2 linked regions of the Anolis sagrei genome follow. The protein of the gene in region 1 binds, or shares a complex with, the protein of each later gene. Links are inferred from orthologs where the notes say so. Each region holds a gene or a part of one and is shown on either strand. Other genes may lie near its edges.

What was found. The genes of interacting proteins can lie anywhere in the genome.
Region 2: the proteins of TNFSF13B (region 1) and tumor necrosis factor receptor superfamily member 13C-like are in contact, whole or in part, in a crystal structure (PDB 1OQE), measured with the Homo sapiens proteins. The link is inferred for Anolis sagrei from reciprocal best matches to the Homo sapiens genes TNFSF13B and TNFRSF13C. Residues at the interface, in NP_006564.1 of Homo sapiens: Ser162, Tyr163, Asp203, Thr205, Tyr206, Ala207, Met208, Gly209, His210, Leu211, Thr228, Arg231, Cys232, Ile233, Pro264, Arg265, Glu266, Asn267, Ala268; in NP_443177.1 of Homo sapiens: Asp26, Leu27, Leu28, Val29, Arg30, Val33, Leu37, Leu38, Arg39, Pro41, Arg42.

Annotation. Positions count from the first base shown.
Region 1 is NC_090021.1:150,058,911-150,063,562, forward strand, and holds the start of TNFSF13B (tumor necrosis factor ligand superfamily member 13B), read right to left. Parts: upstream 3,071-4,652; 5' UTR 2,296-3,070; coding exon 1,873-2,295; intron 1,784-1,872; coding exon 1,696-1,783; intron 1-1,695. UniProt on the Homo sapiens protein: Cytokine that binds to TNFRSF13B/TACI and TNFRSF17/BCMA. TNFSF13/APRIL binds to the same 2 receptors. Together, they form a 2 ligands -2 receptors pathway involved in the stimulation of B- and T-cell function and the regulation of humoral immunity.
Region 2 is NC_090025.1:160,896,369-160,901,020, forward strand, and holds the start of tumor necrosis factor receptor superfamily member 13C-like, read left to right. Parts: upstream 1-1,903; 5' UTR 1,904-2,031; coding exon 2,032-2,164; intron 2,165-4,652. UniProt on the Homo sapiens protein: B-cell receptor specific for TNFSF13B/TALL1/BAFF/BLyS. Promotes the survival of mature B-cells and the B-cell response.

The DNA.
Region 1 (4,652 bases):
TTCAAACCCACACTGCCCAAGTCTCAAAGTCCTCAACGAAGAACAGTTTAGTTAGCTTAGTATAGACCAGGGGTCCTCAAACTAAGGCCCGAGGGCCGGATACGGCTCTCCAAGGTCATTTACCCGGCCCTCGCTCAGGGTCAACCTAAGTCTGAAACTACTTGAAAGCACACAACAATCCTATCTCATCAGCCAAAAGCAGGCCCACACTTCCCATTGAAATACTAATAAGTTTATATTTGTTAAAATTGTTCTTCATTTTAATTATTGTATTGTTTTTAAGTGGGGTTTTTTGCACTACAAATATGTGCAGTGTGCATAGGAATTCATTCACTGTTACCACAATTGTGTTTATTGTAATGTTATTTTGTTACTGTATTTATATCTTTTTTTTCTATGTAATTTTGATGACGTTGCTTGTTGTTTATGTTTTGGTTTTATTTTGCTGTAACATGTTGTCTGGGCTTGTCCCCATAGGGGAGATGGTGGTGGGGTATAAATAAAGATTATTATTATTATTATTATTATTATTATTATTATTATTATTAATGGGTTTTTTCAAATTATAATCCGGGCCCTCCAACGGTTTGAGGGACTGTGACCTGGCCCTCTGTTTAAAAAGTTTGAGGACCCCTGGTATAGACTAAGGGTTTCCCTTCCACCATGTCTCCGGAATGACAGTTGGGAATGTATTTTTTTCTTCTCTCCTCTCTGTTTCTGCTCGCCTTCTGATTGGTTGTTTAAAATGGATATTTTTCCACTGCATACCTTTTTGAATCTGACACTTTAGTATGGAGAGTATGTGCTGTGTGCTTTGAGATCTCTCTCTGCTTGTGTGTCAGGAGAGATGTAATGACTGGTGTTTTTCCCTCTACGGAAACCTTAGAAGAGATGGGTGCTAGAGTAGCTCAGACCCTGTTCCTGATTATTCAGAAAAGCAGTTACACTTCGTAATGGTAGCAGTGGTAGCAGTGTTCCTAGACTTCAATATTATCTAATTATTTTGATCATTAAGACCAAATAAATTCACCACGAACCAGCCTGGCATAGCATAGCAATGCTCCCTATTTCTCTGGCCTAACAGCTTGTTTGGAGTAACAGACCATGCTGGACTAAAACAAAGGACTGTGCCACTTTATAAAATATTTCTAATCTATGTGTTGTCGATAAACACATGGCATATACTCTCTTTCAACAGCGCTTATGGTTATAGCGACACACATACGTCTTCAGGTATATCTTTCTGTAGATCAATAGTTATATCCTACAACTGATCAAAGTAGCCATTATTTAAGTCTTGCATTTCTGTTCTACCTTTCCAGCATATGATGGTAATGGCAATAAAGGAAAAATACAATTAAGACAGTAATGCAGCAGGTACTTACTGTACAGGGTGTGCAGTTTTAGCCAATGTTTCTATATAAAGCATTTTGATATATCTGAATGTGTGTAATTTAACAGATTGCCCATTTTCGACAAAGGAAAAAGCTGTAGCAAACCACAAGACTGTGCCGGTGTTTCAAATAGAGTTGCCAGATACAGATTGTCACAATTTTTGGGTCCTTTTCACTCTCCAAACAAAGTAAGTACAGTTATCTCAACAAATCAAATCTCTACCACTTTGTTAGTTCTTATTCCCTTTCCTTGGCAGTTTCCCAATAGCTCATACCTGGCCTCTCTGTCCAGATCTCTCACCTGTTTCACCTGAAGACCTTTTCTTCCTGTGTTGCTCTCCATTCCGCATGGCCTCTTGGCTACTTGGATGTGGTCTGAAAGCAGCCCCCTACCAATGGCATGAGAACACAATACATTAAGGCTGCAATTCCAGTTTTTCTCTATCCAAATACCTCCCCCTGAAGCCTTACAACGCACCTGGCTCGTAGAACCTTCCGACTTCTTCCAGTGGGGAAGGAACGGACTGGCCTCTTTCCTTTTCTCCAGAGACCCCAAGGACAGTGAGGATGGAAGCCGTGCTTGGACTCTGGAGTTTAGCTTGCTAGTCAGAATGGTTAGTTCCGTTTTCAAGACAGTAACATAGTAAAGTGAGACCGCTGCAAGACAAGAAGACACAAGCACTGCAAGCCCTAGCAAGATCAGCAAGAGCCCTTTGTACTTAGAACCATATGCTGAAGGGGAGGGGTTGCTCTTTCCTCGCCGGTGACCCATTAACATCTTGACTCCTGTCTTGAAAGCCAGGTGTTTCTCACTCCAAAGAATTGATCCAGTTGGCCAGCTGCATCCACAATGTGCAGCCAACATATACTTCCTGTTATATGGGCCTGTTGATAAAAGCATTAAATGTTGTGCGACTGTACAATTTGTGGCTTTGTTCCTCTACACACCTTCCTCATTTCAGTTTCAGATTCATTTTATAAGTGGCTAGCCCAACTGTTTTGTGCAATTTGTGCAATTTGGATTGTTTTGCCCTTTGATTCAAACATGGCAAAGCAGAAAGGATAACATATACTTGCCTCTTTTGTCATTCCAGAGGGTGGGAGTAGCCACTGAAAAGGCTATTACTCCAAACAGAAACTAAACAGGGACCTTATCACATTGGGATTTTTTTCCATGTCAGGAACAACTTGAGAAAGTGAAAGTCATTTCTGGTGTAAGCGAATTGGCCATCTTTAAGGACATTGCCCAGGGGACATCCGGATCACTCAAATCCCTGCCTCGAGCATTCTGGTGGGAGGTAAAATAAACACTTTCCCAAAGTATTGAGTATAATATCCATTAGATGACCTGCATGGGTGTTTTTTAGGGTGTTCTCTGTGTCAGTTACATGATAGGTCCAGTGCTAGAGATGCCAGAGTGTAAGTGCAGATTCCTATTTCCTTATTTGTATACCATAATCCCATACTATTGCCCATGGAGACAAGGACAACATGGCATTTTATCTAGTCTTTGTATGCCCTTTATTCATAGTTATCAGGAAAATGTTCATCAAAACACGTTTCAGCATTAGATCACACAGTTCCAACTTCATATCACCCTTTTAGATTTTAGTTATGTGAAGCAAGAATGCTTAAGATGTCTAGTACCAAATGTTTTTGATTTCAGGTTCCATCATCTGGAACATTGATGCGCATCATCTAAAGCATTGATGTGCAGATCCTGCTCCACAGCAGATCACCTGCCTTATACTCTGTAATGAGATATAAGACTCTTCACCCTGTAAAGGCAGCCGTGGCTTGTCATGATGAAAAAGGGCATGTCCTGTATGAGATACACTAATGTATCTACCTGATGAGTTTGTCTCTTATTGATGCTGCTGCTAAAGATACAGGAATATTCCAGTGCTGTCATGTCCACTTTGCATAGCAATTATATAACTTGACTGATCTCATATGAATACATGCAAATGGAACTGTAGCCATCATCAACAACAAATGGCCTAATAAAGCAATTGATCATATTAAAAAGGAAAGTTTGGAGATGGAAGAGAATGTCTTCTGTCGGTGTCAATTGGGATTTTTTGGCAGTTGATGCACAGGCCAAGATTGTTGGGGAGGTAGAGAAAGAAGCTGGTGATGCATACAAGCGCAAGTCTAGATTTTGAGACCAGCAACCAACTCTCAAAATAGAGAAAGATGAGAAGCCTTCTGCTGCCTGAGGTGTACCATCACTATTGACCTCACCTTGTTGAATGTTGAGAGGCTGAATGGGAAAACCTTCAATAAATATTTGCTATGAATAACAAATCAAAGATTTTAAAATTGTATATATCCCTCAAGTGGAAGGTGAACCAATCTTATTTCTTGTCCCATCCTATCTAGCTTTTTGCCTTCCCTCTCTTGTTGGAAGAAGAAGCCGTGATAGGTTTTCCCAACAAATGCCCACTTTCATAAGAGAGGGGAGGGTTACCTTTTGTTCACTCTGGAAGTAGAACTTGAAGAGTCTGAAAAGCCACAGGCTCCACATCAATAACATGGTCATAGGCCTCACATCTGTAGAGCAAGTTTCTAACATTTCTTCTGTCTCTTCCTAGAAAGAGGGCAAAATAGCTGCCAAGTTTATTTATTTATTTTGTATCAAAAGCATTGCATAAATTAGTAAAAAACTAATAAAAATAGAAGGCGCGCAGGTGGCTAAATATCTTTTGACCAAAAACGGGCAACAGTATTCTCTGTTGCCTCCAGCAATTCCTCCTCTATACATGAGGCAGGGCACAGTGGACAAGCATACAGATGCGGAGTTGTCTGTTCTGCTCCACAGTCACACAAGGTTTGGAATTCTTTTAGGTAGTGCCATTTTGCCAGGTTGTCTTTTGATCTGCCCACTCTGCTTCCGAGTCTATTCAGGGACTTCCAAGTTGCCCATTCTTGGTTTGCCCCTGGAAGACCCTCGTGGAGGGACATACAGTTGGGATTTCCTGGTTTAGCTGCCCAGAGGGATACCCTTGCTGTTGCTGGGGGGACGCCAAGAGGAGTGGTAGTTCTCATAAAGCTTTTCCTTGATTTGAGTCTGCTGGGAGGAGGTTGGTAGCCATGTAGTGGGTGGCTTTCACAGTGTTCAACCTTATTTCTCTCACATTTAGCATCAACTTCCCATCGCACATCAGGGGGGACAATGCCAGCTAGCTTGGGGGACATGGAAAGAGCCTCCTCGAAGACTGAGTAAATACAGTCGGGCGCCCCCCAGGCAATGTTTCT
Region 2 (4,652 bases), on another chromosome or scaffold:
CCAGATTCATAGCCCATAGTTGGGAATGGGATCTTAAAAATAGCTAATGTCAAACTTCAGAAGACTCCCTGATTCCATCTACCAACCTCTTCCTCCTGCATCTGATGTCTAAACTGTGATTAATATTAGCCCAAGCTTAAGGGACAGGGTCCAGTACTCCTGGAAAGTCTGGGCACAGATCACTAACCCACTAACATGGAAGCCAATATCTCAGCAAACTAATTGCTTCAGAACACTGTTGATGTATCAGGCCACTGATTAGTTTTACTTTCTTTTCAAAATTAATTTTTTAAAAATCTTTTAGCCAGCATAGGCAAAATCTGGAAATTAAAGTTCAAGAATGTATTGTCAAAGGCTTTCATGGTTGGAATCACTGTGATGTTGTGTGGATTCTGGGCTGTATTACTTTTACTTACGGAAGCAATCCCTTGTAGTCTGAGGATGATGGCCCTCCAAGTTTAGTGACTTAGTGGTGAATATGTAGGTGGCTGTGGAGATCTATTCTTGATCTGCAGGATCAGCTTGATGCGCTTTTCTCTTAGCACATTGCTCCCTTTCAGCCTCCATTCATGCCTCTTCAAATTCCACAGCACTGCTGGTCACAGCTGATCTCCAGTAGGAGCGCTCAAGGGCCAGGACTTCCCAGTTCTCAGTGTCAATGCCACAGTTTTAAGCTTCAATCCCATTTTTAAATCTCTTTTCCTGTCCACCAACATTCCATTTCCTTTTCTTGAGTTGGGAGTAGAGTAACCGCTTTGGGAGATGGTGACTGGGCATTTGGACAATATAGCCAGTCCAGCAGAGTTGATTGCATAGGAGCATCACTTCAATGCTGGTGGTCTTTGCTTCTTCCAGCACACTGACATTTGTCCGCCTGTCTTTCCAAGAGATTTGCAGGATTTTTTGGAGGCAACACTGATGGAATCATTCCAGGAGTTGAGTGTGACGTCTGTAGACAGTCCCCGTTTCGCATGCGTATAGCAGGGTTGGGAGGACAATAGCTTTATAAACAAGCACCTTGGTATCCCTATGGATGTCCGGATCCTCAAACACTCTCTGCTTCATTCAGGCTGTATGGCCATGCTCTAACAGCATTTTCTCCTTACGTTTCACCTGCATCTGTGGCTCGCATCTTCAGAAGAGCTGGTGGTAATCAAGCAAGTGGGGTATATCTACCCATGGAATGTCCAAAGTGGGAGGCAAGAACCATCATATGTTAAACAAGTGTAAGGAGTGCAATTAGCAAGCTAGATTTTAATGTCTTGGGTGGGATTCACCCATTAGCATGTGAGTAGGACATCTGCATGGAAGTCACCTGGCCTTTGTTCCCTTTGAATTGTTTGCTGCCTAGAAACATCCTTTGCCTGGGTGGTGTGTACTGGGCCTTAATTGCTTACTACCTGGAGTCCTCCTGTGTCAGTGGTGTTCTTTATTTACTATTATAATTTTAGAGGTTTTTTAAATACTGGTAGCCAAATTTTGTTCATTTTCATGGTTTCTTCCTTTCTGTTGAAATTGTCCATGTGCTTGTGGATTTCAAAGGCTTCATTGTATTGTTTGATATAGTGGTTGTCAAATTAGTCTAGAATTTCCTTGTTCTCAAATAATATTCTATGCCCAGCTTTGTTTATCATGTGTTCTGCTATTGCTGATTTTTCTGGTTGAATCTGTCTGCAGTGTTTAAGAACATTCCCAGTCTTGGAATGCTTCTCACAGCAAGGCTCTACATCAAAGACTGTGGAAGTCACAAGAAACGGAATATATTGTGCTGCATCACTTTCACATGGGTTTTGCTGCAAAACAATGTAGGGATGCTTGGGGAGGCTCAGGATGAGGAGGGGTTGCTCATGCAAATCTGCCCTTGCTACCCTTCGGGGCCTCTGGGAGGAAATGAGACCTCAAGAGTGTTGAATCTGCTGAGGCCTTAAGGTTCAGCGGTTCAGAGATTTCTCCTTTGGGCAAAATTTGTATCGTTAGCTCTTTAGTTCATCTTCCTAAACTGTTCTTTAAAAGAAAACAAGACTCTCAGCCATGAGGAAGAAGAGAAGCAGCCACTCCAGTCCCAACACCACCTGCCATCACCATAGCCTATGCTACGACCGTCTGATTGAAAAATGTATCAGCTGCAAAGTGATGCAGAGAGGAGGCACCGAGAAGGAGACAAGTAAGTGAGAAAAACAATTTTCATGGCTGATGGGAAAAAGGAGAGGGAACTGGGATCTTCAAGGGATAGGAAAAGCTAGAACTAGATCCTGTAGTAGTAGGAAGAGATGTCAACAATTGGCTGAGACCCATGAAAGGAACCAGGAAAGGAGTAAGAGGGAGGAACACCGCTTTTACCAAAGGAAGTATGCCAGTGGGCAATGATGATGCTACTCTTATGGGATTGACTTCACTGCTTTAGCAATCTCTTCCCTTTCAGTCTCAGTTTCCTATTTGTAAAGCAAGCATTCAGTTAAAAGGGGCAAATAAGAAAAAATCAATTGCGTGGTTCTCAAGGTAAGGAAATAGAGCAAACGAGGACTTATCTCCCATCCATGGGTATTCCCCAGTAAAATACACAGAAAACTATTCTGCTGTGAATTTTTAGTGAATTTTTCTCATGGATGGACTATGGACAATATCTATGCAAAGCTTGGGAGTCTTACATTTACTGTGTAAATAAAGGAGATTATCTGGTTCTGCTATGATTAGGTTCCACTGTTTCCGCTTTAGAGTAAGATGAATACATTATACCTCAAAGTGCTCAGTTATGCAAGGCACTTACAACTATTTCCCAGTAAACCTAGTGCATAACAGACATGCTCAAACTTTGGCCCCTCAGGTGTTTTGGACTTCAACTCCCACAATTCCTAATAGTCTACAAACTAAGTTCTTGTGGGTTTTTTCGGGCTATATGGCCATGTTTTAGAGGCATTTCTCCTGACGTTTTGCCTGCATCTATGGCAAGCATCCTCAGAGGTGAGGTCTGTTGGAACTGGGAAAAAGGGGTTTATATAAAAGGGATATATAAACCCCTTTTTCCCAGTTCCAACAGACCTCACCTCTGAGGATGCTTGCCATAGATGCAGGCGAAACGTCAGGAGAAATACCTCTAGAACATGGCCATATAGCCCGAAAAAACCCACAATAACTTAGTGATTCCAGCCATGAAAGCCTTCGACAATACAGTCTACAAACTGTTCAGAATTGTGGGAGTTGAAGTCCAAAACACTCGGAGGGCCAAAGTTTGCCCATGACTGGTATAACAGAATTAGAAGGGCTTTCTCCCAGTCCCACAATCATCACATGGCCAACTGGTGAGGACATGGGAGAGAGAATTCTCTAGGTTGTCCCCTTCTCTGCTATCCTTTTTGCAGGCAGGAAAAAAACCCATTTTATTTATTATTATTTATTATTATTTAGAGCTTTTATAACCCGGTCTTCTCGACCTCCGAAGAGGGACTCAGGCTGGCTAACAACAGGAAATTCATATACAGATAAGCTAAAACATAATAACATCATAGTACATTAATACATTACAATACATTAAAATACAGATCAAATAGCCAAGTCGTCAAGGTAATCACAAATTCATCATCATCCGCCCATGTGGTCAGCAGTTATTGACTCGATCATAATTCTGAGAATGCTATGTTCCAAAGCCAAGATTTTACAAGCTTTCTGAAAGTCAGGAGGGAAGGGGCAGATCTGATCTCCATCGGGAGGATTTGACAATTAATTTCTTGTGCAGAAGGGACTTTTTCTTGGAAAGAGGTACCGTATATTCCGGCATATAAGATGACTGGGCGTATAAGACGACCCCCAACTTTTCCAGTTAAAATATAGAGTTAAGACGACTCCCATGCATAAGACTACACCTGCGTATAAGACAACCCCTGACTTTTGCAAAGATTTTCTTGGGTTAAAAAGTAGTCTTATACGCCAGAATATACTGTACTTTTTATCTTTATCATGATCTTAAATGATGCTTTTCAAATTAATGGCGTTTTGATATGGTAGTTTGTTTAGTTATGTTTGAAAATTTTATCAACAACTTTTTAGCTTTGTCTTTTCTTGCAGTAAGTTACATTGGGTCCCATGCTGAAGGAAAGATGTTTGGTTCCAGGACTTTCCCCTCCATCATGGATAGCAAAATCCATGGATGCTCAAATTCCATATGTACAATGGTATAGTAAAATGGTGACCAATATATAAAATGGCAACATTGATGTTTGATTTTCAGAGTTGTGATTTTTAAAAATATTTCCAAGACTTGGATGCAGAATCCATGGATAATTTTCTACCCAGGGATCCTCCACTGGCCACATAGGCTGCCAAAAAAGAAAAAGGAAAGAGAAGTGGATATGAAGGATTGGAAAGCTACACTCGATTTTAAAGGTCTCTGTCTGCTCCTGGAGAGTTCCAGGAGGAACAATTTACCTTTTTCCTGCCTGAAAGGAAGGTTCAGGAGCAGACACAGCTTACAGAAACAGTTTTAGGGAGCTCCCTGCAAGCCTATGGACACAATTTGCCCACCTCCAAGGCCCCTTCTACACTACCATATAAAATCCAGATTATCTGTAGACTCCTATAATCCAGTTCAAAGCAGATAAGGTGGATATATGGCAGTGTCAAAGGCAACTGAAATACATAGTAGTGGGCTAGTTGGA